Callithrix jacchus: one gene and its partners. Each later gene encodes a partner of the first gene's protein in a complex. Links are inferred from orthologs where the notes say so. Each region holds a gene or a part of one and is shown in the gene's direction. Other genes may lie near its edges. The genes, in order: CC2D2A, TMEM67, AHI1, TMEM216, B9D1, TMEM107 and CEP290.

Region 1 (4,001 bases):
CTTGCTCTTTTCATCACAACTTAAAGCACTGATGGCGCATTTTAAGAAATCTGTGTTTTGCTTGTTTTCTTGTTGATGGTTATCATTTAGGTTTCACTGAAGTATTTACCAGATAAATTGCTCATATCTACCTTAATATTCAAAATTCTTTCTTTGGGGAATTTATGAATAAATTGGAACATTAGTTAACTTTTCTTGGTATTGAATACAGTTGGTTTTATTGGCAACTTCATTATTCACTCAAAGCCATAATAAACAAGTAGGTAATCCAGAGCATAGCCCTAGCAACACATTCTTATGATCATGGCTATTAGTATGAATTTATCATTAGGATAACTGTAGTCGGTATGAACATTTTCATTTTTGTTCTAGTTTATCCAAGTCCCATAACAAACCTTAGTTTATTCCGACTTTTATCTTTATAAACTCTCCTTCAACATAATATACCTAATAGAAATGCACGCCTAATAGAAATATTAGGAAGAATGGGTCATATTACCTAAAATGTAGTCTATTCCATGTAAAGTTTCAAATCACATTTCAATAGACATATCACTTTCATTATTTTCTTTTTAACTATATGTTTTCCCATCAAAGAACAAAACAGAGATTGCCTTCTTGACTGGTCTCTTGTTATGGACCAGGATTTTCACAGCAGGGTTGCCTTTCCCATGCAAGACCCCAGCACATCTTGGGGCACTCCTCTGCTCAGGAGGAAGTTACAGCCAGCAAAGTGCCAGGCAGAGAGGCAGGCAGCAGGCCTGGGTGAAGTGCAGTCCATTTCTTCTCAGAGGTGTCCGGACCGGGCCTTCTTAAGACAATGCATAGGAGCTTTGGAGGCTGGCTGACCTGGATCCATCTCTGGCTCATTTTTCTCAGTAACCAAGGCTGTCATTTTCCTGTCAGAGACAGGAAGGCATGGTTGTAAAGCTGACCAGCTGCCTCTGAGGCCTTTATCTGCATATGTGCATGATATTAAAAAGTCACATATTTGATTTTATATACAATACATATATGAGTATTTCTAGTAGGGACCTAGTAATACACTGTAGTCTGGAACAAATCTCTTCTTTTTTGGTCTGTATATTCGCATAATAACACTACTAGGGAAACATGCACAACAACAGTGAAACGTAATTTTTGTTGTTTGGAAAAATGATTTCTGATATTTTTTACAGCTACTAAGTGAATATAATGACATGTGACTCATTATATTTTAAAGTATTTTGTCTTTCAAGTCTTTTAATTTAAAATTGTTAAATGTTCCTTGAAGCTCAGTGCCAAGTTTCTTTGGATGAAATCTGCCTGGCATCTAGAGTTTTGCATTTTCTGTTTTTTATAGGTTGCTACCAGTGGTGAATCCTATGTCCCTGATTTCTTTAGACTGGAGCAGCTGCAACAGGAATTTAACTTTGTTTCAGATCAAGAATTAAATAGATCCAAACGATTCAGGCTTCTTCTTCTTAGAAGCCAAGAGGTGCCAGAATTCCGAAATTATAAGCAAATTCCAGTCTATGACCGAGAAATTATGGAAAAGGTATTTCAGGTAAGAAATTGCCATAGAGGGGTTAATAAAAGAATAAAGTACCTGTGGTGCTGTTTAGTATATTATTATATATGTATTTTGTTTTTGTTATGCTGTCACCAGCAATAGCAGTTTCTCTTTATTGCACTTTTATATATAACCTTCCCATGCGTTTTCTTGAATTCACCATTTGAATAATCTCTCTGCCTCAATATAGTGATATATAAACGAATCAGTTACCAGGATTTTGAGTCAACTGAACCACGTACAATTAGAATTGTAGAATTGAAAATATCTTAAGGGTTAATAAGGCTAATAATATGGCTAATTACTGAATGTCTTAGGAATTCAATTCCATAATGTAGTACTTACTAAGCATAATATACTCAGTACAGTGGTAAAGCACTAGGGAAAACTAGGGGGACAGAATCTGAATATCCATAGGGTTGGTGGGCAGGGCTGGGCATTCATCCTGGTCAAGGGCAGCAGGAGAAACAAAGACTCAGAAGAGAGCAGATTACATCTCTGGGCATGGGGTAGAGAAGCCTTTGAGGAACTGCAGGTAACAGGCCTGTGTAGGGGAGGGGCAGGCCAGTGAAACCAGACACATGCACTTTTTTTTCTTTTTCCCTGCTTTCATGAGCTGTAGACACACACACTTTTATTAATACTTAATAAGGTAAATGGAGAGCCATCAGGAATTAGTACCAGGAAGATTTTTCATGCCAAAACTATTCTTAAAGAGTATGTTTGGTTATTTGGTTCTTCTCTATATTCGTTTGGACTTTGATCACAGGAGATAAAAGCCCAATTTTGAACTACCTTAGGTACCGCGGGGAGTGTCTACGGGATGATGAAATCTCAAAATAGTACTAAATACCTAAAAGCGTTGAATGGCATGAGTGCGTCAGTGCCTGCTGCCAGGACCCTTCTGCTTCCTCTCTCGGCTTCTTTGATATGTTGGCTTCATGTTCCTCCTTTGCAGACAGGTTTTCTCTAGTTGGCCACGTGGTCACCAACATCACACAAGTTCATATCTAGTTTCTTCACCCAGCAGAGATGTGTCCTCTGAGCCTGGGTTAGGTACCACTTCCAGGTGTTCCACTGTGACCAGATGGTGGGATTAGAGAACATAGCAGTTCCCAGGGCACATACATAATTTTATTGACAGACAAAGCCAAATGTATGCATCACTCTCCTCCAAGCAGATGACCTGACTCAGCTGCAGCTAGGTGTTATGTCATGATGGTAATGTTTTAACTTGAAATTTTTACTATTTTTGTAATGGCTTTACTAAAGGCAAAACTTAAGCAGGAGCTTTGGCTAAGTTGCTTGGAAAAGCTTTTCTCTTATATTTTGTGGCCTCTATTTCTCCCTGACTTAACATTTTAATTTGTAACTACTGTACAGAATTCTCTTCTACTAGTAAGGCATTTCAGCTACCTGTCTCAGAATCCTGGTTACTGCATTGAAGACTAATTCTGAACCAAAAGTTAGAAAGAAGGTGGAAGAAATATTTAAAACCACAATTTATAACTTAAATCATATGTGATAAATAATTCCCTGATCTTAAAAATAGCACTGGAGAGTGCTTTAAAATCATAAAATCATTACCTCTTTTTAATTTTAGGACTATGAGAAACGGTTACGAGACAGAAATGTAATTGAAACCAAGGAACACATAGACACCCACAGGGCCATAGTAGCCAAGTACCTCCAGCAGGTGAGAAAAATCATATAAAACTGTCTTCAGAGGGGGAAAAAAAGCCAGCATCCGAAGGTGAAAAGTCCTCTACTTTAATAAATATCTATGTGAGCTTATGCAAGCCACTTAGCTTGCAAAAATTTCCTCATAAATACAAATATGTAATTGATTGACAACTATTATCACCTTTCAAGTATATGAAACCACTAGGATATGTCCTGGTTTATTATTAGCAGTTATCTTTTAATGGGGCATAGTTACAAGGGATTCAATTTCTAAGTATGTTTTTTCTAATATTTGAATGTTGCCATTGAGTTACAATGATTACCTTTGTAATCAGAAAAAAAAGTCTTTAAACCATCTAATAACTGCCCTTATGCACTAGAAAACTAAAAATTAAAGCTGAAACATCCTTTTGTTTATCCTTTTACCTTTTTTGTTTCCTTCTTTTCTTCCTTCCTTCAATTAACTGAACTTGCCAGAAATGCTACAGTGCATTTTCCCTATCCAGTTTATCTGCCCTGTGGCTCATGTATTAGGAAAAAAAAATGACTTATAACATTTAAGAGGTTATTATTTTTATTTATGTATGTATTTGAAACAGGGGGCTGGCTCTGTCGCCTAGGCTGAAGTGCAGTAGCATGATCTCAGCTCGCTCTTAACTTCTGCCTCCCAGGCTCAAGCCATCCTCCCACCTCAGCCTCTTGAGTAGCTGGGATACAGGTGCACACCACCATGCCTGGCTAATTTTTATATTTTTTGTAGAGATGG
Region 2 (4,652 bases), on another chromosome or scaffold:
GACCTCGTGAGTCCAATCCCAGAGTGCTGGGATTACAGGATTGAGCCGCCGTGCCGGGCCAAAATCATAAAATTCTTATGCTTTCTCCTGAATAGTTCCTTTATTCATCCTCTCCTGCCTCTCTCTTCCTCCATTGCTCCAATTTAGACTCTAGATTTCCATCTTTGCCTTACAAATGGTCTCTACTTCTAACAGTTTCCATATATTTGTCCAGGATTTTTCTTTTTTGCGTGTGACTGTGTCTCTCTTTGACATCCATGCTGGAGTACAGTGGCACAATCACAGCTCATTGCAGCCTTGACCTCCTGAGCTTAAATGGTTCTCCCGCCTCAGCCAGCCAAGTAGCTGGGACCGTAGCCATGTGCCACCCAACCAGCTAATTAAAATAAATTGCATTTGCAGAGATGGAATCTCACTATGTTGCCCAGGTTGGTCTTGAATTCCTGGACTCAGACAATCCTTCCACAGTGGACTCCCAAATGTTAGTATTAGGGGCATGAGCCACAGCACCAGGCTTAGATTATTTTATTCACAAGAGATGTAAAGATTATTTCAATTTATATACAAGTCAACTAAAGAAAAAATAAGGCTTTTAAAGACTCAAAGTTAGTTTTTTTCAGAGTCTTACTGAGGAATGCCACCCTGGAGAGTCTTTCAAAGAGTTTATGTTAGACTGCTCCAGAGCAGCGTTTCTGCCCACAGTTTTTATATCAAGGGGTGGAGTTCTGGATGCGCTCAAAAGTTACATTAAACATGCTCAGAAGTTACATTGGAGCAAAATCTCATCAAAGTTTTGGTTGGAGAGTACATCTGGTTATAGATTACAGAGACATAATCAAAATCATTAATCCTGTCAGTCGTTATCTTATGTACAGGAAGAGGCAAGGGCCAGGATCACTGAACGTATCTTTTTTAAAAAAATGAAGTGATTCAAGCAACAGATGTGGAAACCTGTGCTCTATTCTACTTATTGTCTGTAGGGCATTCTTCTGGAGGACTTCGTTCAGTCACTGAGTCAAGGGCTTTGTGAAATTCCGCTGGCAACAGAATGAGTAAACAGTTTTCTTCCGCTTCGTACTTTGTCTCACATACATGATTTCCTGTGCTCAAACCTGGCAGGAAAGATTTTTTTAAAAATTTTCAATCTTTTCTCTATAGTAATCCTTCACTGGGTTTTAAGTCAGTGTGTTGTTATTTTTTGTTATTATTTTTTTTTTTTTGACGGACTGTCAAATTGTTAAACAAGTTTCCTTTAAGGTTAAAATCACCTAGTCTGAATAAATTCTGATGTAAATATAATTCAATAAATTATGATATTTTCAATTTATGATGGATTTATTGCGGGGAGGCGGTAACCCTGTCGTAAGTCGAGGAGCTCTGCACAAGTTCAAAAATACCGTTGGGCTTTAGCCGGCCTTTAACCCATTCTTTACTGGACTTGTCAACTTCCGTCAGGATTGGTAACCTAGCAACCAAGCAGCACCAGCAGAGACTTCCGGTACCCAAACTTGGGTTATCCAATCAGCTTAGCGGAGTTACCGCAGAGGCTGATGGGACGCTGGAGCCTGGGCGGCTGCTAGCGTCGGTACCATGGCTACGCGCGGTGGGGTTGGGGTGGCAATGGCGGCTTGGTCCCTTTTATCTGCCCGAGCCGTGACTGCGTTCCTTCTGTTGTTACTCCCTCGCATCTTACAGGCCCAGACCTTCTCTCTCCCTTTCCAGCAGCCGGAAAATTGCGATAACAACCAGTACTTTGATATCTCCGCGCTCTCCTGTGTTCCGTGTGGAGCTAACCAGAGGCAGGATGCCCGAGGTAAGACGGCTTGAAGTGGGCCCTGGCAAAAGTAACACTTCCGCCTTGGTCTGCCCCTAGTCTCTGGAGTCATTCAAACACCTTTTCGTCTGCAGTAGAAATGTATCAGAAAAGTTAACCGCGGAAGTCTCAGAAGAGGGTTTTCTGGAAGGATTGCAGTTTGCACACGAATGAAGTGGGAGATTCTGAGTCGGCTACCCAATGAACCGTTGCCTGTAGTTCGTTTCTCGGTGCCAGTCCCCGACTCCTCATACGGGGGTCTTCAGGGCGACACCCGGAATGCTGTTTACCGAAGATAGAGAAGAACTAGTAGAGAAGTAATCTGAGGTAAACGGGAGCAGGTGACAGGAAAGATTAGGGAGGAAGAACAAACTAGCACTTGTGAACCTCAATAGCCCTACATCATTTTTTTCCTTTCTTTGTTTCTTTTTTTTTTTTGGACGGAGTCTCGCTGTGTCACCCAGGCTGGAGTGCAATAGTGCGATATCGGCTCACTGCCACTTCCACCTCCCGGGTTCAAGCGATTTTCTTGCCTCAACCTCCTGAGTAGTATGTATGTATGTATGTATATACAGGCGTCCGCCATCACGCCCGGCTAATTTTTTATTTTATTATTTTATTTTATTAGAGACAGGATTTCACCATGTTGGTCATGCTGGTCTCAAACTCCTGCCCTTGTGATCTGCCCATCCCAAAGTGCTAGGATTACAGGCATGAGCCACTGCACCCGGTCAGCCCTACATTTTTCTTTTCAAATCCCAGACGTTTAGAACTGGAAAGGACCTTAATCATAATCAGATCCAGTCTTCTCATTTTACGGATAAGGACATTCAGGCCCAGATGGGGACTGAAAGAATAAATATCCCTGCTCTCAGTCTTGACCTATGTGTTTTCACGATTCCTCCCTCCCTCCTTCCTTTCCTTTCTCAGTCTTGGCCTGTGTGTTTTCACTATACTGTTTGTTTCTTTCTCTCTCTCTCTCTCTCTCTCTCTCATCTCTCTCTCTCTCTGCCTGTGTGTTTTCACCATACCCTCCCTTCCTCCCTCCCTCCCTCTCTCTCTCTCTTTCTTTTCTTTCTTTGTCTTTCTTTCATTTCTCTTTATTTTCTTTTATTTTAGTTTCTTCTCTGACAAAGTCTGGCTCTGTCACCCAGGTAGAGTGCCCTGGCTCAATCTTGGCTCACAGCAGCCTCTACCTCCTGGCCTCAAGCCATCCTCCTCCCACCTCAACCTCCCAAATAGCTGGGATTACAGGACCTCACCAGTTTTTTTGTAGAGATGGGGTTTTTGCCATGTTGAGGCTGGTCTCAAACTTGTGAGTTCAAATGATCATCCACCTTGGCCTCCCAAAGTGCTGGGATTAAAAGAGTGAGCCACTGAGCCTGACCCATACTATGCTGTATGCCTCTAATACAGATTTCCTTAGGACTTGTCCTTTTTATCATAGAATATTACTCATTATTCTTAAGGTCTCTTTAGATTAAATCTATTTTTTATACCTAAAACATCATTTGTTCCTAGTTCTCACTGAAACTGCTCAGAATGTCTTTTCCCATATTCTAAAGTCTAAGATGTTTTCTTTTCTTTTCTTTTTTGAGACGGAGTTTTGCTCTTGTTACCCAGGCTGGAGTGCAATGGCATGATCTCAGCTCACCGCAACCTCCGCCTCCTGGGTTCAGGCAATTCTCCTGCCTCAGCCTCCTGAATAGCGGGAATTACAGGCACGTGCCACCATGCCCAGCTAATTTTTTGTATTTTTAGTAGAGACGGGGTTTCACCTTGTTGACCAGGATGATCTTGATCTCTTGACCTCGTGATCCACCGGCCTTGCCCTCCTAAAGTGCTGGGATTACAGGCTTGAGCCACCGCACCCGGCAAAGATGTTAAGATGTTTTCTATCTCAATTTGGTCACCCATGTTATTAACTTTCTGGCATGTTCAGCTTTGACATATCCTCATTTAAGTTCTCGAACAGGTCAGGCTACACATGTATGGCAATATGAATGAGAAAGCATTTCAGAAGTTAAAATGTAAGATATTTTTTCATATTTATGAATATGGAAAGGTATAGTTCCATATCTATGAATCCAGATATGGTATGTATTATACTACATAGACTCCTATGAGTGCTGCTTCTACCTAATGACTCCTTAGAGAATGCTGTCCTTATCTATACTGCAAATTGAATAGTGATTATCTTACTATGTTTACTATCTATCTTAACAGAGAGAAACAGTGATTTATTTGAATGAAGGCAACTTCCCTAATAAGGAAAGTAATTAAGAAAATGAGTTTTCTTCTCATTTTACAGATAAAGACATTGAAGCCCAGATTGGGAACTGGAAACATTCATATTTGTTTGCTCTCAGTGTTGACCTATATGTTTTTACTATACTGTATATTTCTTTTTTTTATTTTATTTTAATTAATTAATTTATTTATTTATTTGAGACGGTGTTTCACTCTTGTTACCCAGGCTGGAGTGCAATGGCGTGATCTCGGCTCACCGCAACCTCTGCCTCCTGGGTTCAGGCAATTCTCCTGCCTCAGCCTCCTGAGTAGCTGGGATTACAGGCATGCGCCACCATGCCCAGCTAATTTTTTGCATTTTTAGTAGATATGGGGTTTCACCATGTTGACCAGGATGGTCTCGATCTCTTGACCTCGTGATCCACCCACCTCGGCCTCCCAAAGTGCTGGGATTACAGGTGTGAGCCACCGCACCCGGCCCCTATTTCTTTCTTTTGTTTTGAGAGGGAGTCTTGCTTTGTTGCCAGGCTGGATGCAGTGGCCCAGTCTCGGCTCACTGCAACCTCTGTCTCCCAGGTTCAAGTGATTC
Region 3 (4,001 bases), on another chromosome or scaffold:
GGATCCTGATTGAGTCAATTCTTAACATTATCAGTCCTCTGCATAAAGCTGAGAGATGCCTCCCGGTAAGACTTTTATGAAATGTATGTATAAAATTTATATTTTATACATTTAAAGTTTGGATTATTTTCATTTTAAGGGATTCTTTAACCGATTAATGAATACAGTAGGTGTCATTTACCAAATATGCTACACTGTAGAGATATTTATTGGTTTTGTATTCAGTTTTCTATTTAATGTTGTGATTAAGGTTATTATATATTTAATGAATGGTAGTTTGGGACTCAGCTGAACAAAGTAAATAATGATTACAACATAGGGTTAATTTTTATTATTTATCATCAAAATTGAATGTTTTACTCCACCACAAGCATTGGCAATCTTTTCTGAAAGGGCCAGCTAATAAATATTTTAGGCTTGGTCTCTATTATAACTACTCAACTCTGTCTCTTGCTCTATCTCTTTTAAAACATGAAAGCAGTTACAACAATTCCTAATCAAATAGACCTGTCTGATTTCAGTAAAACTTTACAAAAACAAGTGACTAGCCTGCAGGCCATCGTTTGCCAACAGTTGCTCTAGAGTACCCATTCATTCAACATTTATTAATTTAAAACATAATGACTGAGTATGTATACTGTGTCAGACCTCATAGTAGTAGCTAGGGATGTAGTTATGGGGAAAACAAACAATATATTCTTTATATAGATATAAAAATGATTATATGATTTCCATTTGTGTTAAGTGCTGTGAAGGAAGAGAACAACCTGCTATGTGATAAAAAGGAAAATTTAGTTGTCAGATGTTTTATTTAGAGACAGCATTTAAACAGACAGGTTAACCCCCAGCCAGGTGAGGAGTTAGAGGAAGCTTGCCTCAGAAACAGCTTCATGTCGGAAGGAGCTTGCTGTGACGGAGGAGGAAGGGTATTATAGCTAGAACATAGGCATCTAAGAGGATATTTGTCTTGATTTCAAGCTCTAGAGATAGATCAGGAGGTATGGAACCCTGTAGGGCATGTGACAGACTTATTTTATCCTAAATAAAATGGGAAACTTTTATGGGCTTAATCATTACCTGATTCATGTTTTAAAGAAAAATTTTTTTGTAATGGTAATATTTGTGGATTACTGATGACAGGCTTGGCAGGCCTTAGCCATTTTTCATGCAAAATGATCTTGGACATAGGATAATTGTGATTTTTCAGATATAGAAAATGAAGTTCAGGAATGTTAAGTAACTTGTCTAAAGCCACATAACATGTAACTAACAGTGGTAGATGCTATTGTTTATCAGAAATAAAAAGTTAATTCAGCAAAGGAGACTTTTAGAGTCAGTGGCCAAAAAGGTCAGAAGGATACAAGTGAATGTTGTGTCACTAAAGTCAAAGTAAAAAGTGTTTAAGAAGGAAGGACTAGCGAGTGTTTCTAATGTAGCTAGAGGATTCACGCAGGTATTTACAAGGCTTGATTTCTTAACATAAGAGTAATGTGTTATAATAGAGTTGTTTACAGAATGACATGACTCTTTTGTAGCTGAGAGTGAAGCAAAAGTAAAAACCAAAGTTCGCTTTGAAGAATTGCTTAAGACCCACAGTGATCTAATGCATGAAAGGAAAAAACCAAAGAAAAAACTTGTCAGGTCTGGAGAAAACATCTCGGTAAGTAATCATCATTTGGTAATGGTGATTTACATATCTGCATAAAATGGCTGCATATAATTAAAAACAGTAACATTATGTCATGGTCAATAACACATAGTAAAATAAAGTTGACATTAGAATCGACATCACTGTTGGAGTATTGAGTTCATTCTTGAGTGCTGCCCTACAAGAAGAACATGCACACAGTGGGGAGAATGACCAGAGATAGTGGGGAAACTCAAAACTAGCCATGATAAGATTTTTGTAGAAAATCAGTATTTTTTTTATTTTTCGAGACAGAGTTTCGCTCTTGTTACCCAGGCTGGAGTGCAATGGCGCGACCTCGGCTTACCGCAACCTCCGCCTCCTGGGTTCAGGCAATTCTCCTGCCTCAGCCTCCTGAGTAGCTGGGATTACAGGCACGTGCCACCATGCCCAGCTAATTTTTTTTGCATTTTTAGTAGAGACGGGGTTTCACCATGTTGACCAGGATGGTCTCGATCTCTTCACCTCGTGATCCACCCGCCTCGGCCTCCCAAAGTGCTGGGATTACAGGCTTGAGCCACCGCGCCCGGCCCCGGAAATCAGTATTTTTAACCCAGAATTGTGAAGAACTTAGGAAGTAGTATCCTAACTTCAGCTATTGAATGGCTTGTGCTTGTTGAAACTTTTTTCTGTATGGTTCTACCCAGCAGAACCAAGAGAAATCAACGGCCTTAAGGCAATAGTTATCCTTTTATGTTTGAGGCACACTTTCAAATGATAGAATTTTTGGCAGCACACTTGAAGGGATTAAAAATACAGTGCTCAAAGTAACATTAAGCAAATCAGCAACTAACTACAATCTGATCCCCTTGGTATCATAAAGTCTATATTGGCATCCACAGTTAATGCAGTATGCACTCTTTATACCCATCTCACTACTTCAGTTGCACTTTTTGCTACTTTGACTGTTACGTTTTCTGTCCTCACAGAAAAAAATAAATAGGTTATTGTACATTTCAGACTTCTCTCTAAAAACACTAAATCCAAAAGACAATAGAGAAATATTTAGTGTATTAAGGGAAAAATTGTAGCTCAAGGAATCTAGTTACTCAAGTTGTCAGTCATTTGTGAGGGTAGTTGTAAACATATGTGCTTTATTGGAGAAATATTATCAGCATTCCCTCCCTGAAAAAAAAAAAAAAAAGATTGAAGATTTATCAGAGATGTAGTACCATTTCTAGATGTGAATCAAAGTTAAGAATTTAAGAATAGAACATCTTAAGATCTTAGATGGAGAGATGAACAGAAGTTCATTCCTTAACAGGGGTACAAAATATAGTTAGAAGGGATAAGTTCTAGTAGGGAAATTACAGTTAATAATTTATATATTTCAAAATAGCCAGAAGAGAAGATTTATGTTTCCAACATAAAAGATAAATGCTTGGAGTAATGGATATCTCAGATCCTCTGATTTGATCATTACACATCATATATGGTATCAGAATATGACATGAACCCCCAAAATATATACAACTCTTATATATCAATATAAAAATTTTAATGGGAAATTTATGAACTGAAAATACCATTGGATGAACTTTGAAATCAATTAAACATGTAGAACTTTTTTAATTATTATATATGTCCAGAATAATTCCTGAAGATTTTACATTAGATATGTATAATTGATAATGTGAGATAACAGAACAAATTGGTTTCAAAGATTGAGCAAAGCATCCTAGCTTACAAAGGAACGAAAAGTCAGTAGCTATTACTCCTATCCCTAGTGTATAGTCAAAAGTTATATTTCATCCTAGAGTTTGAAATAAAACAAATGACATATGTCAAATAGATTATTACACTTTCTAAGTCATCAGCATTAAAAATATCAAGTGAGATTTTTTAAAAAGAAAGCAATGAAATAAGAAAATTAAGAGCAAACTCAGTCATGACAATAAATGTAAATAGTTTAAGCTTTCCATTTTAAAAAACGATTCAAAAATAGATTTTTAAAATATCAGGACCAGGTGTGGTCGCTCGTACCTGTAAGCCCAACACTTTGGTAAGCCGAGGTGGTAGAATTGCTTGAGTGCAGGAGTTCAAGACTAGCCTGGGTAACATAATGAGATCCCATCTCTCAAAAAATAAAGATTTATCTGGGCATGGTAACATGTATCTGTAGTCTTAGCTACTTGGGAGGCTGAGGTGGGAGGATTGCGTGAACCTGGGAGATGCAGGCTGCAGGGAGCCGTGATCATGCCACTGCATTCCAGCCAGAGTATAGAGCAAAACCCTATCTCAAAAATAATACTAATATGAAATAAAATATCAAGTATTTTGCTTGCAAGATTCACACATTAAACAAAATGACAAG
Region 4 (4,537 bases), on another chromosome or scaffold:
AAAAAAGATTAGCTGGGCATGGTGGTGGGTGCCTGTAATACCAGCTACTGGGGAAGCTGAGGCTGGAGAATCGCTTGAACCCAGGAGGCGGAGGCTGCAATGACCAGAGATCATACCATTGCACTCCAGGCTGGGTGACAAGAGTGAAACTCCATCTCAAAAAATAAATAATGAGTAAAATGACGTTTAGTCACTCTTCTCAGGTTACCTGGTTGGAGTGTGACCTCTGTTTCCTGCACAATGGGCTAACAGCCAAGTCAGCCTGAGTCCTCTCAAAACCCTTCCTTATGCACTCCCCTGCCTGCAGCAACACCTTCCCCACCTCCTGTCCCCCTGCCCCCAGACGGAGTATCACTGTCACCCAGGCTGGAGTGCAGCGGCATGATCTCAGCTCACTGCAACCCAACCTCTGTCTCCCAGGTTCCAGCGATTCTCCTGCCTCAGCCTCCCAAGTAGCTGGAACTACTGGTGCACACCACCATGCCCGGCTAATTTTTGTATTTTTAATAAAGATGGAGTTTCGCCATGCTGGCCAGGATGGTTTCCAACTCCCGACCTCAAGTGATCCACCAACCTCAGTCTCCCAAAGTGCTGGGATTACAGGTGTGAGCTACCGCACCCAGCCAGCAACATGCTTTTACCGCTCAAAATCCGAATCAGGAGGCTTTGAAGCCCAGCTCACAGGCCGTCTTTTGGAAACTAACTTCGATTTCCATGTGGGAGCACTTTGTCCTCTCAGCTCTCACTGAACCACTTTATGTATCACGTGGTGACTCGTTTCAATTTGTGCTCCAGGAAAGGACGCTCTATTTCCCTGGTGTCTCTACCTGCTACTAAATAGGCCGCAGAAAAAAACCAATGCTGGCGGGGCACAGTGGCTCATGCCTGTAATCCCAGGACTTTGGGAGGCCGAGGTGGGTAGATCACCTGAGGTCAGGAGTTCGCGACCAGGCTAGGCAACATAGTGAAACCCCATCTCCACTAAAAATACAAAAATTAGCTGGGCATGGTGGCAGGTGCCTGTAATCCCAGCTACTCAGGAGGCTGAGGTGGGAGAATCGCCTGAACCCGGGAGGAGGTCGCAATGAGTCGAGATTGCGCCGCTGGTCCAGACTGGGTAACGAACGAAACTCCGTCTCAAAAGAAAAGAAAAAAAGAAACCAATGCTAACCCCCACCCCGCATTTGCAGAGATCCGTCGCGCACACCGTTTATCGTTTCCGATGAAAAAGGGGAATGGTGGGACTAGGACTTATTTGCCAATCCTGATCATATTGTCACAGCTGGCCACTTCCGCCCAACGCCCGGTAGCCCGAGAGCCTCTGGGGTCCTCCCCCACACCCCCGAGGTCCTGCAGACGACGGCGTCGTGGGCGGCCACTGTTTTAGGTCTGGAACTGGAACATCAAGCGAGAGTCACTTGCCGCCAGGCCCGGGTTCTTCCCGCTCGGGTTGGGCACAGAGCGCCGCGTGCGGTCGGAGAGCCCGGAAGCGCAGGCCGCTCCGTCCCCGTTTCCGGCAGCGCCTCGCTGCTCCTGGAGCCGCGGTGGTAGCGTACGCAGTTTCCATGGGGACTGAAGATGGCGCCGCGAGGTGAGATTCTGGAGGTGTGTGAGTCGCTGGTCCCTTTCCCTTCGGCCCCTCCCTCCCACCTCTGTCCCAGAGCTTGACCTAAACCCTCCTTTCTCAAGCGTTAGGGACTTGGCGCCTCCCTGGTCCAAAGCGGGCTTCCGCGGCCCCGCCCAGCCTGGGTGCCTGAAGGTCTCCGGGTGCGGGGCTCAGATAGCTACACATCCTCGGCTGGGCCTCTTCTAGGCTGGCTCAGGTACGAATATGTGGATCTCCGCGCCCCAACTTCCCCTCCCAAATAGTGACAGGGAGAGATCTTTGATCTCAGTTACCTCTTAACTTGTATCCCTGAAGCCGAAGGATCGAGTTTCACGGTGATTCCTGGGAAAGGAGGGAAGCCCCCTCCACACTCACCTCCGTACCCTCACCCCACTCATTATCAGCAACCAGAAGTGCCCCTAAGTGGCCGGTCCCATTAGTCCACTGCCCCTAGTTTTCCCCAAAGTAGATACCAACCCCTTCGAGGAGCCGAGAGGGAGCCGCCCTCCTGCCCATCCCACTTCTCTGTGCTCCTTTTTCAGGGAAACGGTTGTCCTCCACCCCCCTGGAAATCCTATTCTTTCTGAACGGGTGGTATAATACTACCTATTTCCTGCTGGAACTTTTCATGTTTCTGTATAAAGGTAAGGAAGGCTTGAGGCTTAGACACAGCATCTTTCCCCCACTTCAGGTCAGAGCCGTCTCCTACCAAGAACCTTTTTTGCCCTATGCAGTTCTTTGTCGCTGCAAGGCAGGCCTCCTCATCAGATGGCTTATTTGAGTACGATCCCACAGGTAGCCCCTCAGCAAGAATTTCTTGAATTTGGGAAACAGGGCCTTTCAGTTCTGACTCCGCCCACATTGCTGCTCTTTGCTGAGCTCAGCTGTAAGCCCATTGGTGACCCTCAGAAACTTCAGTGGCCTGTGTACCCTGTATATCCAATCATTTTGGAGAGTGGAGTCCCCAGAGACTTTTGGAGTTAGGGGTAAAATGCGGTAATAATGAGCCGGGGTTGGTTGCACTGTGAGTTTATGTATCCTGCAGCTGTAACACCCACCTCCTAACTAGTTCATGGACAGCTGAGACAGATGTCCTCTTTTTCCCAAGTGTGTGGCAGTCCTTGTGGGTGCCGTTATCTGTTGTTTGCAAACTCTGGCTTTTGTATTGGCAGGTCTCCTGCTACCATATCCAAAAGCTAACCTAGCACTGGATGTGGTGATGCTCCTCCTTTACCTTGGAATTGAAGTAATTCGCCTGTTTTTTGGTGAGTGTCGTCCAGAGAATATTTCCACTCCTTATGAGACAAACTGTAACTTGATTAACAAGAAAAGTACATAACCTAGGTTAACTATCAAAGATTGGATCTGGAGGTATATCCCTTTACTCCCTCTCTGAAGTTTCAAGTTGCTGCTTCTTAATTGGGTCAACATTTACCTGTTCGTTGCTCTCTAAGGCTAGAGATCAGCAATAGCATGGGATATTAGATGATTGATTCCTTTTCAGCTGCCTAACTGCAAGAAGAGTGCCTGGTTCCTCTCACTAGCTTTCTTGGGGAATAGGTTCAGTTATAACTCCATGTCAGGGAGGCAGTATATCCTGCACAGATCAGTCCCAAGATCCCTGACAATTCTCTGAATAAGGATCTCTCGTAGGATTTTATTTTATTTAATTGGAGTTTTGTTCTGTTGCCAAGCTGGAGTGACGTGGCATGATCTCGGCTAACTGTAACCTCTGCCTCCCCGGTTCAAGTGATTCTCCTGCCTCAGCCTCCTGAGTAGCTGGGACTAGGTAGTAGGTGTGTGCCACCACACCAGCTAATCTTTGTATTTTTAGTAGAGATGGGGTTTCACCATGTTGGTCAGGCTGGTCACGAACTCCTGACCCCATGATCCCCCTGGCTTGGCCTTGCAAAGTGCTGGGATTACAGGCATGAGCCACCTTGCGAGGACTGATTTGTGTGTTACAGGCCAGATTTGTTTGTTTTTGAGACGGAGTTTCACTTTTGTTTTCCAGGCTGGAGTGTAATGGCATGATCTTGGCTTCCTGCAACCTCTGCCTCCCAGGTTCAAGCGACTCTCCTGCCTCAGCCTCCCGAGTAGCTGGGATTACAGGCATGCACCACCATGCCTGGCTAATTGTATATTTTTAGTAGAGATGGGGTTTCTCCATGTTGGCTAGGCTGGCCTTGAACTCACGACCTCAGGTGATCCGCCCACCTCGGCCTCCCAAAGTGCTGGGATTACAGGCGTGAGCCACCATGCCCAGCCAGGACTTTTTTTTTTTTGAGACGGAGTTTCGCTCTTGTTGCCCAGGCTGGAGTGCAATGGCGCATTCTTGGCTCACTGCAACCTCCGCCTCCTGGGTTCAACAATTCTCCTGTCTCAGCCTCCCAAGTAGCTGGGACTACAGGCATGTGCCACCATGCCTGGCTAATTTTTTGTATTTAATAGAGACAGGGTTTCACCATGTTTGCCAGGACGGTCTCCATCTCTTGACCTTGTGCTCCACCCGCCTCGGCCTCCCAAAGTGCTGGGATTACAGGCGTGAGCCACCGCGCCCGGCCAGGATTTTTTTTTTTAGCATTTATTTATTTGAGACAGAGTCTCACTCTGTCACCTAGGCTGGAGTACAGTGGTGCGATTATAGCTCACAGCAGCCTTGAAGCCCTGGGTTCAAGCAGTCCTCCCACTTCAGCCCTGAGTAGCTGGGACCACAGGCGTGTGACACCATGCCTGGCTAATTTTGAATTTTTTGTGGAGACAGTGTGTTACCTTGTTGCCCAGGCTTCTCTTAAACTCCTGGCCTCAAGCAATCCTCCCACTTTGGCCTTGCCAAGGTGCTGGGATTACAGGCATGAGCCAACATTCCTGGCCTGTAGGACAAGTTTTATAACCCCAGAAATACAGAGCAAAACCGTTATTTGTTAGAAT
Region 5 (4,001 bases), on another chromosome or scaffold:
CTGAGCTGTGGACACTCTGGCCAGTCTGCTCACCATCTGGCCTCTCCTTAGCCAGTGGGGAGGACACATGTTTCTGTTGGGGGGTGTCAGATAATAAGGAGTGCATATTCTAGAATGTCAGTGAGCCAGAAGGGCGGTGGGGAGACCAAGCCAGGAAGTGACAGGGATGAGCCATGAGAGAGGGAGGCCGCGATCTCACTAAGGCCACCAGGGAGGGCCTTGCCAAGAAAGTAACTTTTAAGTAAAGACCTGAAGGAAGTGAGGGAACAAGCCATGGAGAAACCTGTGATACGTGTGCGGGCAGAAAGCAGAGAGTACAAAGGCCCTGGGACAGGAGCATGCTCGGCATGTTTGAGGACCAGCAAGGAGGCCGTGTGGCCCCTGGAGAACGAGCCAGCAGGAAAGCAGCTGGAGATGGAGCAGGGAGGCACCAGGGTGGATCTTATAGGACTTAGAAGGTCAGAGTAAGGACTGTGACCTTTACTCAAAGGGATTGGGGTCCCCGTGGAGAGCTTTCAGCAGACAAGAAAGCGATCTGACTTGTGTTTTTAGAAGATTCCCTGGTTTCTATGACAAGGATAGACTTCAGGAAAGGGCAAGAGCAGGCAGCACAGTTGGCTTTGACAGCAATGCAATGAGAGAGGAGGGCAGCAGCGGTATGGTGGCGGGAGGGCTGGACTGCAAGTACACCCTGAAGATAAAGCCGCTGGGCTCTTCTGGTGGATGTGGGGTGTGAGAGAAGGAGGAGCTAGAATTCACAGCAGGGCTTTTAGCCTGAGCACTGAGAAGTAGGGAGCTGCCTTTCAGTGAGAAGAGCAGATTGGGGAGCGCTACCTGGAGCTCAGCCTGGTGTGGGTTAAGGTTGAGGCGCCCACTGGAGGAGGTGCTGATCCACAGTACAGAGGCAAGGACCAGGATGGAGACATAAATTTGGGAACCTTTGACATCTAGAGCACATCGAAAGCCATGAGACAGATGAGATCACCAAGTACAGGTAGAGGAGCTGGCCAAAGATGCAGCCTTAGGACGGCACACTGAGAAGGAACCAGCAAGAGCCACCAAGCAGGGCCACCCTGTGCAGTGGAGAGACCCAGAAGCCAACGGAAGACAGTGTATCAAGGAGGAAGCAACTGTATCAGGCGCTGCTGATGGCTCAAGTAACACAAGGACGGAGAAATGACTGTTTTGCATCTGGCAATGCTGATCATGGACATTGTTGGAGAAAACCCTTTGGTAGAGTGCTGGAGCCAGCAGTCACATTGGAGTGGGGTCACAGAAGAATAGCAGGGGAGGGGCCCGTGCAATGGCTCATGCCTGTAATCCCAGCACTTTGGGAGGCTGAGGAGGCAGATCATGAGGTCAGGAGTTTGAGACCAGCCTGACCAACATGGAGAAACACCATCTCTACTAAAAATACAAAAATTAGCTGGGCATGGCGTGCCTGTAATCCCAGCTACTCAGGAGGCTGAGGCAGAAGAATCACTTGAACCTGGGAGTGAGCCGAGATCACTTCACTGCCTTCCAGTCTGAGGCGACAGAGTGAGACTCTGTTTAAAAAGAAAAAAGAATGGTAGGGGAGAAATTGGATCTGGTGAGTGAGGCAGCTCTTGGAAGCAGTTTTGCTGTAACGGAAGCAGAGAATGGGTTGGTGGGTGGAAGAGGCAGCAGAGTTGAAAAAGGACTGTGTGATGGACAAAATACATCTATGTGCTTACCAATGGGGATGCTCGGATGCGGGTGGGGATGCAGGGGAGTGCAAATACTGCTGGACCATTTCCTTCCGTGTAGCAAGAGCTTGGGAACAGATCCCAGTGCCCTTGTGCCTGGGAGAGTGGCTGGCCTCCCAGGGTTGTCACACACACTACCACATTAAAGTACCACACTTAAGAGGTATTCCATCATCTCTTAGTCCCCTTTGTTTGAAATCTAGTGTCTTGGGAGAAGATAGCTGAGAAAACAGCCTTCCCAGCTGCCTGCTGAAGGTAAGGGAGGAGCCACAGCAGCTTGACTCTGATCTGACTCTAGCTGTCTCTGTCATTGTCCCCACAGGGTCTGGAAGAGGGGATCTCACAGATCACATCTAAGAGCCAAGATGTGCGGCAAGCACTGGTGTGGAACTTCCCCATTGATGTCACCTTTAAAAGCACCAACCCCTATGGCTGTGAGTCTGCAGGGGCCCTGCAGGGTAGGGTGGCAGAGCTTTCACACAGCACCCCCAAGACGGCCTTTGCCTCATCCAGCCCATGACTGTTCACATTCACATTGTCACCTGGGCTCTTGAAGCAGCCCTCAGCACTCTCTCTCTCACCATCTGTCCCTTTCCCTCCTCTTCCTCATCTGTGCTCACCCTGGTTCATCTGCTACAGCTGTGCAGCTGGCCTTCTGGAAGTTCAGAGTGGATCAGGGCCAGTGACCATGCCTGTAAAAGGCAGGCCCCTCCCTGGTATGCAGGGCTGCAGCTGTCTGGCCTGGAGGTCTGACTCCGTGCCTGTTGACTTCCCGTGGCCTGTTGTGTTCCGACCAGACCCTGGCACTTGCTCCTCCTGTGCTAGCCCCTCAAGTTCCTTCATCTGAGCTTCATTCATGCTGATCCCTCTCTCCAGATAGCCTTCCCATGTCCTACCTCCAACCTCTTTCCCAAGGGCTTCCTGGCTGGCATTACTTATTTTCTACCCTGCCTGGTGCTTATTAACCACGCTGATCTTCCACTTGCACTTAATAAGTGCCTACTGGCTTAGTCTCCATGGGACATTGAATACTTTCCCTATGTGAACTCATCTGAGCTTCCCAATCATACCTGGTAGGTAGATTTCTCTCCATTTCTTCTCCCATATGAGGAAACTGACACTCAAAACTGACTTCACTTGCCTTCTGCTTTACATCTACTGACCAGGTGTGGATTTTCATTCAGGCCCCTCTGATTTCACGATCTAGGCCTTTCTGCTGCATGTGGCCTGGGCCTAGGCTCACCACAGTGTTGAGGGTCAGGAGCAGAAAATGCCTGGTGGTCCTCTTGGGCAGGGAATTCCATTCTGCTGTCATCATCTATGAATAGGAAGCTGCAGTCGACTTCCTGTAATAGTGCAGTAAGTACTATAGGAACTCAGCCAACCTCCTCCTGCTGAAGACAGGTAGGAGAGGTAAATGAAATACACAAAGGCAAAAACAAAAAGCAACTACCTCAAAGGCATCAGAGAGCTAGTGAAGTAGAAGAGATTTACCAGGCAAGATCCAGGAGAAGAACAGAAATCCAGAGGTTACCCCCATCCCATCTCCCCTGGGAGTGTTTGCTGATTCCAATAGAGGTGATTGAGAGACTGATCAAGACTTTTGACAGCCTCTCTGGGCCCAGGACACACACAAAAAACTGATGTTCAGAGCCTTCCAAGGGGTTGGGAGGAGGGCCTCAGGTAAATCTCTGCAAACTGGGTTAAGACCCAAAGAGCTGCCCTAGGAATAAGGGAGAGATGGAAGCAAAGCAGCCTCACAGGGATTGTAGCCTGGCCCCTGATAATTTCAACCTCCTGATTTTTGCATTCAGCTCCAAGATTGTTACACCCAAGGCACCTGGCAAAAGCAAATAAGAAACCTCTTTTGGCTAGGCATGGTGGCTCATGTCTGTAATTCCAGCACATTGAGAGGCTGAGGCAGGCAGATCACCTAAGCTCAGGAGTTTAAGACCAGCCTGGGCAATATGGCAAAAATCCGTCTCTGCTAAAAATACAAAAATTAGCCTGGTGTGGTGGTGGGCACCTGTAAACCCAGCTACTTGGGGGGCTGAGACAGAAGGATTGCTTGAGCCCAGGAGGTCAACGCCACTGTACTCCAGCCTGGGTAACAAAGTGAGAACCTGTCTCAAAAAAATAAGAAAAGAAGCCTCTTTGGAAAAATATAACATTTCATAGACATCAAATTATTTCTATGTATTTTTTCAAATGTAATATCTGGCATATAATAAGGCACATAAGAATCAAGACAACATGAATGATAACCAGCAAAAA
Region 6 (4,515 bases), on another chromosome or scaffold:
CACCACCACATCGGGCCATTTTTTCCCCCCTTGTATCTTTAGTAGAGACGAGGGTTCACCATGTTGCCCAAGCTAGTCTCGAATTCCAGACCTTGTGCTCCTCCCGACTTGGCCTTCCAAAGTGCTGGGATTACAGGTGTGAGCCACTGCACCCGGCCTGTTCTTTTTTTTTTTTTTTTTTTGAGACAGAGTCTCGCTCTGTCGCCCAGGCTGGAGTGCAGTGGCGCGATCTCGCCTCACTGCAACCTCCACCTCCAGGATTCAAGAAATTCTCCTGCCTCAGCCTCCCGAGTAGCTGGAATTACAGGTGCTCGCCATCATGCCCAGCTAATTTTTATATTTTTAGTAGAGACCGGTTTTCACCATGTTGATCAGGCTGGTCTAGAACTCCTGACCTCAGGTGATCTGCCCGCCTTGGCCTCCTAAAGTGCTGGGATTACGGCCATGAGCTACTGCGCCAAATTTTCTAAAATAAAGTTTAAGAACAAATGCCCCATTCTTTTTATAGAATTATAATTGTAGCGTTTCCCTTTTCATAGCATATAGTATCTTGCGGATTTGTTTGCATGTCTATTATTGATCTCCCTGACTAGAATCCACCTACTAGGTAATCAGTAAATACAAACAATATTTGAAGAAATGAGAAATGCCTCTTGGGCATATATTTAGACTGGCTAAAGGCACTGAGACGGGGAGTGAGGAAGAGGAAGCGGTTGTTCTCCGGGGAAATGAGCCGGGAGGACCCTTGAGAATGGGACTTGACAGCATTGCGAGAAGAAAGAGCTTTCCGATCAGCGGGGACCTGCGCTGAAACCCAAAGGTCATGAGGTTGCCGATGATAAGAGCTTCTTGGACTGTAGCTGGGTAATGTCGGAGGCCCAGCACCTCCAAGAGATAAAGAAATCTGATTTGAGTTTCCGTTCCAGTCAGCTCCAAGCCTCCCAGGGATGCAGGGACTGTCCATTCCCTCCATCCACTCCCACCCTTTCCGGTCCCCTTGCTCTGCCATTTTTTGCACTCTGCAAATCCCTCACCAAACTGAGCAAAGTTAGACTGAGAGAAATCAGTCTTCCTCAAGGAAAGTTCAGGCCTGGGGTCCTCAGACATCCAGGGGCTCCGTGACAATCTGTGACTGCTGAGCAGTCTAGGGACACCGCCTCTCCAAGTTCGGGACCCTTGTTTCTGAGGCCAGCTTGGTGGGAAGCTAAAGGCATACGGAGGAGGGGAAGGGGAGCGTGTCTGAGTCTTCGGCATGGCGGGGACCCGGACCTCAGCCCGGCATGGCGGTGGCGCGGCCTCAGGAGATCCACAATTGTCGGTGTAGAAGGGGCTGGGGGCCGCTCCCGGCAACTGCGGAAGCCGAGGTGCCCCCAGGCTAGCCCAGGTCGGTTTCCGTTCGTCGGTCCTGGGCGGGTAGATCGGGCGCTGCGGGGCCGTGCCACCTCGCACCCTCTCAGGAACAAAGGGCTTGGCTACGCGCGGATACCCAAACGTTGGGTTAGAATGGCATTCGGGGAAGCCCTGACCTGCGCAAGCCGGAAGAGGCCAGCAGCAGCTTGAGAATATACTGCTCTCGCGATGTTTTTCGAGAACGCGGCGCCGCGTTCGCGTACGGAGTTACCAAGGTAACTGGGCGGTGCCTGAGCGGGCGGGAAGGAGGCGTTCGTCTAGATTTTGTCCGCTTGCAGGGAGACTTCAGGAGTCGCTCTCTTTGAAATTCCGGCCTCTGAGACCGCCGCCCCTGTTTCCAAGGGCCATGGGCCGGGTCTCAGGGCTCGTACCTTCTCGCTTCCTGACGCTCCTGGCGCATCTGGTGGTCGTCATCACCTTATTCTGGTCCCGGGTAAGACCCACGGCTGACATCCGTCCGCCCCTATTCCCACCTCGGAGTGGTCCCAGCCCCATCTTGCCCCTCTCCCAGTGTCTTACCCACTTAGGTCTTCTCGTTCCCCGCCGCCCCCAGGCCTGCCTCGCCGCCCGTCCCTTTTTCACTTCTCTTCCTCTCTGCTCTGCTCCCAGGACAGCAACATCCAGGCCTGCCTGCCTCTCAGGTTCACCCCCGAGGAGTATGAAAAGCAGGACATTCAGTGAGCTCTCTCGGAATGGGCTGGTCAGAACGGAGAGGTGGTGGGAGTGGAGGGTTCTTAGAAGTCCAAGGGCCTGAGGCTGTCCACTTCCTTTCTGCAGGCTGGTGGCCGCGCTCTCTGTCACTCTGGGCCTCTTTGCAGTGGAGCTGGCCGGTTTCCTTCTAGGAGTCTCCATGTTCAACAGCACCCAGAGCCTCATCTGTATCCTTTCCTCCTGCTCACCTTTCCCACACGACCATTTCCATCAGGACTCCCTTCAGCCACCTGACACCATAGTGTCTGCTGTAACCAATCTCTCCAGTTCGGATATCTTCAAACATGTGCTAAATCCTGCTGTTTACTAGGCACTTAAAATCCCAAAATGAGAGTAAAACAGTTTTCGGCCAGGCACGTTGACTCATGTCTGTATTCCCAGCAGTGTGGGAGGCCCAGGCAGGAGGATTGCTTGAGGCATCATAGTGAGACCCTATGTCTACAAAAATAATAGTAATAATGAGAACTTCACCTTTTTTGTTTATCATGAGGAGGAGGCAGACACATATCTGTAATTCAGTGATAAGCAGGGTGCTATAGGAGTGTGTAAAGAGGGGTGGGCGCGGTGGCTCACGCCTTTATTTCAAGCAACTTTGGGAGGCCAGGACAGGTGGATCATTTGAAGTCATGAGTTTGAGACCAGCCTGACCAACATGGTGAAACACCATTCTCTACTAAAAATACAAAAATTAGCCGGGCGTGGTGACGGCACACCTGTAACCCCAGCTACTCAGGAGGCTGAGGCAGGAAAATTGCTTGAACCTGGGAGGCAGAAGTTGCAGTGAGCCGAGGTTGAGCCACTGCACTCTAGCCTGGGCAACAGAGTGAGACTCCGTCAAAAAACAAACAAGCGGGACACGGTGGCTCAAGCCTGTAATCCCAGCACTTTGGGAGGCCGAGGCAGGTGGATCACGAGGTCAAGAGATTGAGACCATCCTGGCCAACATGGTGAAACCCCGTCTCTACTAAAAATTCAAAAATTAGCTGGGCGTGGTGGCGTGTGCCTGTAGTCCCAGCTACTCAGGAGGCTGAGGCAGGAGAATTGCTTGAACCCGGGAGGCGGAGGTTGCAGTGAGCCGAGATTGTGCCACTGCACTCCAGCCTGGTGCCTGGTGACAAAGTGAGACTCTGTCTCAAACAAACAAACAAACAAACAAACAAACAAAAGGTAGAAAGCACAATGGGAACTCAGAAATGGCAAAGGAAATGAAGCACGTGGGTCAGAGAACTGTGAACCAGGAGTGCTAGAACCCTGGAGGCTGATTCCAGCAGAGCATATCAATTCGCTGTCAGCACTCCTGTGTGGCATGGTAGGAGAGCCTACTCTTACCTCTCATCTGAAGGGTCCAAGCTGGCCTCTAGATGTGGGGTAGGCTAGCCTGAGGTCCCATCTATGCAGTTACTTCTGGTCTCTCCTCATATGACCATCCTACAATTCAGAAGTCAGGGCTGCTGACTCTAGCCCTTGCAATATGGTGAGGGAGCAAGCGATGAACCTGAGTGCAGATGCCAACCCCACCACTGATGTTTTCTGATCCATCACTATCTGTCGATCCAAAGACTTTCCTTAACTGTGGTGCCTTCCCAAGCCATTGGGGCTCACTGTAGTGCATCCGTGGCCCTGTCCTTCTTCATATTTGAGCGTTGGGAGTGCACTACGTATTGGTACATTTTTTTCTTCTGCAGGTGTGGTAACACCCAATATTTGGGGATGAGGGAGGAAGGTTTACCCTAAATCTGAAAGTTTTCCCCCACCCGGTCCCTTCTTCCATGCATGAGATCCTGTAGTCTTTTTCATCCCCCATCCCCATGCCACCTGCCCTATACTTTCAGGGGTGGGGTCTCTAGTTTGGAGATTTGCATATTTATATTGAAAGGATTTCTGAATCTACCACCTGCTTCGGTAGTGCCCTTCCAGCTGTCACTGAAATGGCTTTATTCATCGCCATCTTTGGGCTGAAAAAGAAACCTTTCTGATCACCTTCCTGATGGTCGAAGGCTACATGGGAGGCCGCTTCGTATTCCTGGAAGAAGAAAGGCATAGGCTTCAGTCTTCCCCTTGGAAACTGCTTCTGCTAGAGGATATGTGTTGGATGTATGGGATTATCAGCATTGTATTTAGTGTTTTGTAATAAAATATGTTTTGTAGTAAGATCAAGAGTTATATAGTTTTCAGGGGACAATTGGGATGGCTTAACTATTGAAGAAAAAAACAACTACGCTGTTTTCTAGTCCTGCAGACCGTAAGATACTTGATATCGCTTCTATTTTGGTTATTACGGTAGACGTCTGGGGGAAGGAAGTGGGCGGGGATATGTAAATAAAAGTGCATACAGTTAGAACGTCCAGCACGTAAATGATTGGAGCATTCTGGGAAGAAATAATTTATTCCTTT
Region 7 (4,001 bases), on another chromosome or scaffold:
TATTTTATGGATCTGCCATATAATTCTTTTTGATACCTTATAGTCATGATGGAGTCTTTTAAAAGAATTAATTTTGTTATTTAAATTTATTTAAAAGTTTGTTTTGTGGTAGCTAATGTATGAAAACATTTGTCTTTTTTTTTAAAAAACAGAAAATCAATTAAAAACTAAAGTAATGAAACTGGAAAATGAACTGGAGGTATGTCTTTTTGTATTTCCTAGAATGTAATTGTCATAAATTTTATTTTGCATTGTTTTCAAATTTTAAAATTATTATTGGCTGGAAAAGTTATAAGGATGATAGTAATCATGGTTATTTGCTTTTTCAGTATATATTCTCGGATTGAGCATACAGTTGTGAATGAAATTAAAACAGTTAACTGCTATATGGAGCTTGCAGTCTTGGGAAATACATAGAAAGCTTACTAGTAACTGAGGTGGAGCGTGGGTGGGGAGTTGGGGAATAATGACCAAAGGGTTTTATAGAAGTAATTTTTTACAAAGCTGAGGGCTAAAGTATGAATGTATTGTTGAGGAACTAAATTCAGATTCCTGAAAAGGTAGGGATGGATCAGCTTTTGAAACGGATCAGCCTTTGAAAGAAGGAATACCCTTTTCCTTGTGTTAGGAGAGAAGGAAGAGTAGATGAGGGGAGGAACAGTAGATGTATGTAGAAGCCTTTATGTTTGTAGGCATAGTGCCTGGAAGTTGAGAGGTCAGTGATGATGTCATCTGTTAGAAAGAGTGGGAGATGGTGTGGTCACATTTTAAGAAAATCAGATAAAATTTGAAATGTAATGGAGAAAAGACTGGAGAGTTGGGGATCTGGAGTCAGACAGATTTGAGTTCTAGTCCTGATTCTTTTATTTGTTAATTCTCTGAACTTGGATGACTTGTTATTTTGATTGTATATCCAGCTCCTGGAAAAATGCCAAGTACTTTCAATAAATACTCATTAAATGAATTATGGAGTTGAATCAATTCTGTGTTAATGTTTAGATAGGCACCTGCTATACAATAGAAGAGTAAGACAGTTTTGAAGATATTGGTAGGAAAGTGGTTGAAGTGGTGATTATGAAGTCTCAACTGAATAGATAAGAAAGTCAAGATTGGGGTTGGGTGGGCAGAAGGGTAGGGATAAGGAGTGAGAAGTCGAGGGATTAGTGTCCTGTGAGGTCAAAGGACAGGCATAGTGGGAATAATTGAAAGAATGTTTCTGATTGGACAAGGATTTGATGTTGGTGTGTCAGTGAGAGATGATAGTGAATTCAAGAAACAAGAAAAAAAAAATAGACTAGAACAAAAGTTATGTGGAAATTGCTTGGGGATTTGATGAACGTCTGTGAGGCACATGCTTAAATTCCCAGTACATTTTGCAGAGTCACTGGGAAGTTGGTGGTTTGCTGCTACCATGAGTAGGTAAAGATGGAGAGCTGGATATCTTGTGAGAAAGCAGCTGAGGTTTTCATAGGATGATGGAGGAATGATAGGAATGATCACGTGAAGTTGCAGGGTAGAGTAAACCTAGAAGTACCAACACCTCCTCCTGACCCTAATGTATATGGGCTGTGAAAGAATGAGCACCTTCCAACTGAAAGAGTTCCAAGGGCATTAGTATCCTAAAGGATCCAAATTGCAGCTAAGGCAAGGAGATGGAAAGGATGATTCAGTAAATAATCTGAGGTTGTGAAATATTTATCTTGGAAGAAGACTTTAGCACAGGGAATGCTTTTTGAAGGAGAGAAAGAGTGTGAAAAATTTGGTTAAGGTAGAGGAAAAACAGAACTATAAGGTGAAGAGATAAATGTGAGACAGGTTAGATGACCAAATGATTTGATGTTCTGGGACATGACCTAAATTAACAAGAATATGAAATAAAATGGATTTAGTTGGCTACAAATCTTAAAGATAAATGAAACCTGAGTTGTTCAGTAAAGTGGCACTAACACTAGCTATTTATATTTCTATTTGTTAAAATTAAAATGAAAAATTTAGTTCTTCAGTTACAGTAGCTACACTTCAAATACCCAAACATAGCTACATGTAACAAGTGGCTACTGAACTGAACAGCAGAGAGAGCATGTCTATTATCCTAGAAAGTCCTGTTGGGCAGCACTGGTCTAAATAGTGCATGATATGAGAGAAAGGGCAGGTTAAGGCACTAAACTTCACTAACAGCGACGGAGTTTCTCATGGTTCGTACACGGGTTCCAGATCTCTGCGGCTTAGGACCTTTGCCTTTAGTCTGCTACCTGTTGGCCAGTGGTTACAACAGAATGATTAACAGTCAATTCTTTGTAGCTCTGGGTGGCTCAGGAGAAGTTTAAAGACTTACTAGCTGTGAACTAACGCTTAGGTAAGTTAAATTAAAAAAAAAAGATTCTTAATATGATTTTAAATATCTGCACTGAAATATAATGAAAATTTAAAGTCAAGATAAGTTGCTTATTGTTGAATCATTTGAACTTCAAAATATAATATAATTTATACTTTGGGTTTATTACTTTGAGATGGCTCAGCGGTCTGCAGGTGGTCGGGATACTCGGTTTTTACGTGATGAAATTCGCCAACTTGAAAAGCAATTAGAACGAAAAGATAGAGAATTGGAGGACATGGAAAAGGAGTTGGAGAAAGAGAAGAAAGTTAATGAGCAAGTAAAGCACTTTTTTTTCCATGAATCTTCACTGTTCAAGTTACCTGGCTTTTTATAATTATTGGTAACAATATCAATTTTTGTATTGTATGTTATATTTGAGGAATGATGTACACTTATAAGATTTTATAACACTGTTCATTTTGTCATCACAAATTTTAAAATATAATGGAACAGGTACTTTTAGTGAATATGACTTGAAGATTAATTCTTTATATTTGGAGGTACATTTTTCTCAGGATATATCACACTTACTACCTAAAATTGATGCTTTTGTCTGGAAGATTAGTGTCAAGAAACTAATAGACTTGCATAAAGAAGTGATCTTAGTATCATAGTTTATTTTGCATAAAAGTTATATTTGTTTATTTCAATGTATTTATATGATTAGTAGATTTGGAAATGAATCTTTTGATGATACATTCAATAATGTTTAATTAAATTTCTTGTTTTTGGTTGTATCCTTATATATGAGATATATATATATTGTTTTTGAAAAGTGTTAATCTCAACATTTTATCAATGATATTTAAAATAACATGTTTAATACATAGTTTTTATTAACTCATGTTATTCCTTGTTGTAAACTAATAATTTTTGCAGTGTTCCCTGGGATTTAGTTTTGGAAAAAAAGTTTTTTGCAGGTAAATTTGTATTTTCTTGAAGAAAATTTCCTATTTTACCTCAGCTTCTTATTTAATGTTTTATTTATTTATTAACATTTCTATTTAACACTTACTTGTTTTTTATTTCACCTCAGCTATTAGTAAACTTAGTAAAATTTGGTGCCTACATGTGGTAACTGTCCTGTCTCTTATACTCAGAAACATTTTTTACCTTTGTGTCCTTTAAGTCATTATTATGTTATATTCTGTTTATTTCATTTTGTTCATTATTCTCTCAGAAATAGAGGGTCATACATTTTAAGAAAACAGTGATATGCTATTTAAGAGAATCAATCTCACTTGAGACCCAGAGTTCAAAACCAGCCTGGCCAACATGGCAAAAACCCCATCTCCACTAAAAATACAAAAAAAATTAGTCGAACCTAGTGGGGAGTGCCTGTAATCCCAGCTAGTTGGGTAGTTGAGGCAGAAGAGTTGCTCGAACCCAGGAGGCAAGAGGTTGCAGTGAGCCGAGATTGCACCACTGCACTCCAGCCTGGGCAACAGAAATGAGACTCTGTCTCAAACAACAATAATAATAAGAGCATCTATCATAAATTGATTTTTAAGGGAAACTATTCCTTACAAATTTCTTACATGTATCTATTTTACTCCAAAATTTTAAAGAACCATATAAAAGCTATCAAAACAACGTGGTAGAGAAAGTATGGATTGATGCCACT

What was found.
Region 2: CC2D2A (region 1) and TMEM67 share a complex: the UniProt entries of both Homo sapiens proteins name them as parts of the tectonic-like complex. The link is inferred for Callithrix jacchus from reciprocal best matches to the Homo sapiens genes CC2D2A and TMEM67.
Region 3: CC2D2A (region 1) and AHI1 share a complex: the UniProt entries of both Homo sapiens proteins name them as parts of the tectonic-like complex. The link is inferred for Callithrix jacchus from reciprocal best matches to the Homo sapiens genes CC2D2A and AHI1.
Region 4: CC2D2A (region 1) and TMEM216 share a complex: the UniProt entries of both Homo sapiens proteins name them as parts of the tectonic-like complex. The link is inferred for Callithrix jacchus from reciprocal best matches to the Homo sapiens genes CC2D2A and TMEM216.
Region 5: CC2D2A (region 1) and B9D1 share a complex: the UniProt entries of both Homo sapiens proteins name them as parts of the tectonic-like complex. The link is inferred for Callithrix jacchus from reciprocal best matches to the Homo sapiens genes CC2D2A and B9D1.
Region 6: CC2D2A (region 1) and TMEM107 share a complex: the UniProt entries of both Homo sapiens proteins name them as parts of the tectonic-like complex. The link is inferred for Callithrix jacchus from reciprocal best matches to the Homo sapiens genes CC2D2A and TMEM107.
Region 7: CC2D2A (region 1) and CEP290 share a complex: the UniProt entries of both Homo sapiens proteins name them as parts of the tectonic-like complex. The link is inferred for Callithrix jacchus from reciprocal best matches to the Homo sapiens genes CC2D2A and CEP290.

Annotation. Positions count from the first base shown.
Region 1 is NC_133504.1:178,326,055-178,330,055, reverse strand, and holds part of CC2D2A (coiled-coil and C2 domain-containing protein 2A), read left to right. Parts: intron 1-190; exon of another isoform or gene 191-899; intron 900-1,342; coding exon 1,343-1,546; intron 1,547-2,405; exon of another isoform or gene 2,406-2,629; intron 2,630-3,155; coding exon 3,156-3,248; intron 3,249-4,001. UniProt on the Homo sapiens protein: Component of the tectonic-like complex, a complex localized at the transition zone of primary cilia and acting as a barrier that prevents diffusion of transmembrane proteins between the cilia and plasma membranes.
Region 2 is NC_133517.1:33,426,788-33,431,439, reverse strand, and holds the start of TMEM67 (meckelin), read left to right. Parts: upstream 1-1,571; 5' UTR 1,572-1,590; coding exon 1,591-1,813; intron 1,814-4,652. UniProt on the Homo sapiens protein: Required for ciliary structure and function. Part of the tectonic-like complex which is required for tissue-specific ciliogenesis and may regulate ciliary membrane composition.
Region 3 is NC_133505.1:142,223,077-142,227,077, reverse strand, and holds part of AHI1 (jouberin), read left to right. Parts: intron 1-1; 5' UTR 2-55; coding exon 56-65; intron 66-1,535; coding exon 1,536-1,660; intron 1,661-4,001. UniProt on the Homo sapiens protein: Involved in vesicle trafficking and required for ciliogenesis, formation of primary non-motile cilium, and recruitment of RAB8A to the basal body of primary cilium.
Region 4 is NC_133511.1:118,390,391-118,394,927, forward strand, and holds the start of TMEM216 (transmembrane protein 216), read left to right. Parts: upstream 1-1,558; 5' UTR 1,559-1,578; coding exon 1,579-1,591; exon of another isoform or gene 1,592-1,823; intron 1,824-2,148; coding exon 2,149-2,250; intron 2,251-2,778; coding exon 2,779-2,871; intron 2,872-4,537. UniProt on the Homo sapiens protein: Part of the tectonic-like complex which is required for tissue-specific ciliogenesis and may regulate ciliary membrane composition.
Region 5 is NC_133506.1:83,255,508-83,259,508, reverse strand, and holds part of B9D1 (B9 domain-containing protein 1), read left to right. Parts: intron 1-2,049; coding exon 2,050-2,161; intron 2,162-4,001. UniProt on the Homo sapiens protein: Component of the tectonic-like complex, a complex localized at the transition zone of primary cilia and acting as a barrier that prevents diffusion of transmembrane proteins between the cilia and plasma membranes.
Region 6 is NC_133506.1:74,652,654-74,657,168, reverse strand, and holds TMEM107 (transmembrane protein 107), read left to right. Parts: upstream 1-1,631; 5' UTR 1,632-1,756; coding exon 1,757-1,843; intron 1,844-2,019; coding exon 2,020-2,087; intron 2,088-2,187; coding exon 2,188-2,288; intron 2,289-3,709; coding exon 3,710-3,806; intron 3,807-4,027; coding exon 4,028-4,097; 3' UTR 4,098-4,272; downstream 4,273-4,515. UniProt on the Homo sapiens protein: Plays a role in cilia formation and embryonic patterning. Requires for normal Sonic hedgehog (Shh) signaling in the neural tube and acts in combination with GLI2 and GLI3 to pattern ventral and intermediate neuronal cell types.
Region 7 is NC_133510.1:93,053,247-93,057,247, forward strand, and holds part of CEP290 (centrosomal protein of 290 kDa), read left to right. Parts: intron 1-152; coding exon 153-199; intron 200-2,510; coding exon 2,511-2,654; intron 2,655-4,001. UniProt on the Homo sapiens protein: Involved in early and late steps in cilia formation. Its association with CCP110 is required for inhibition of primary cilia formation by CCP110.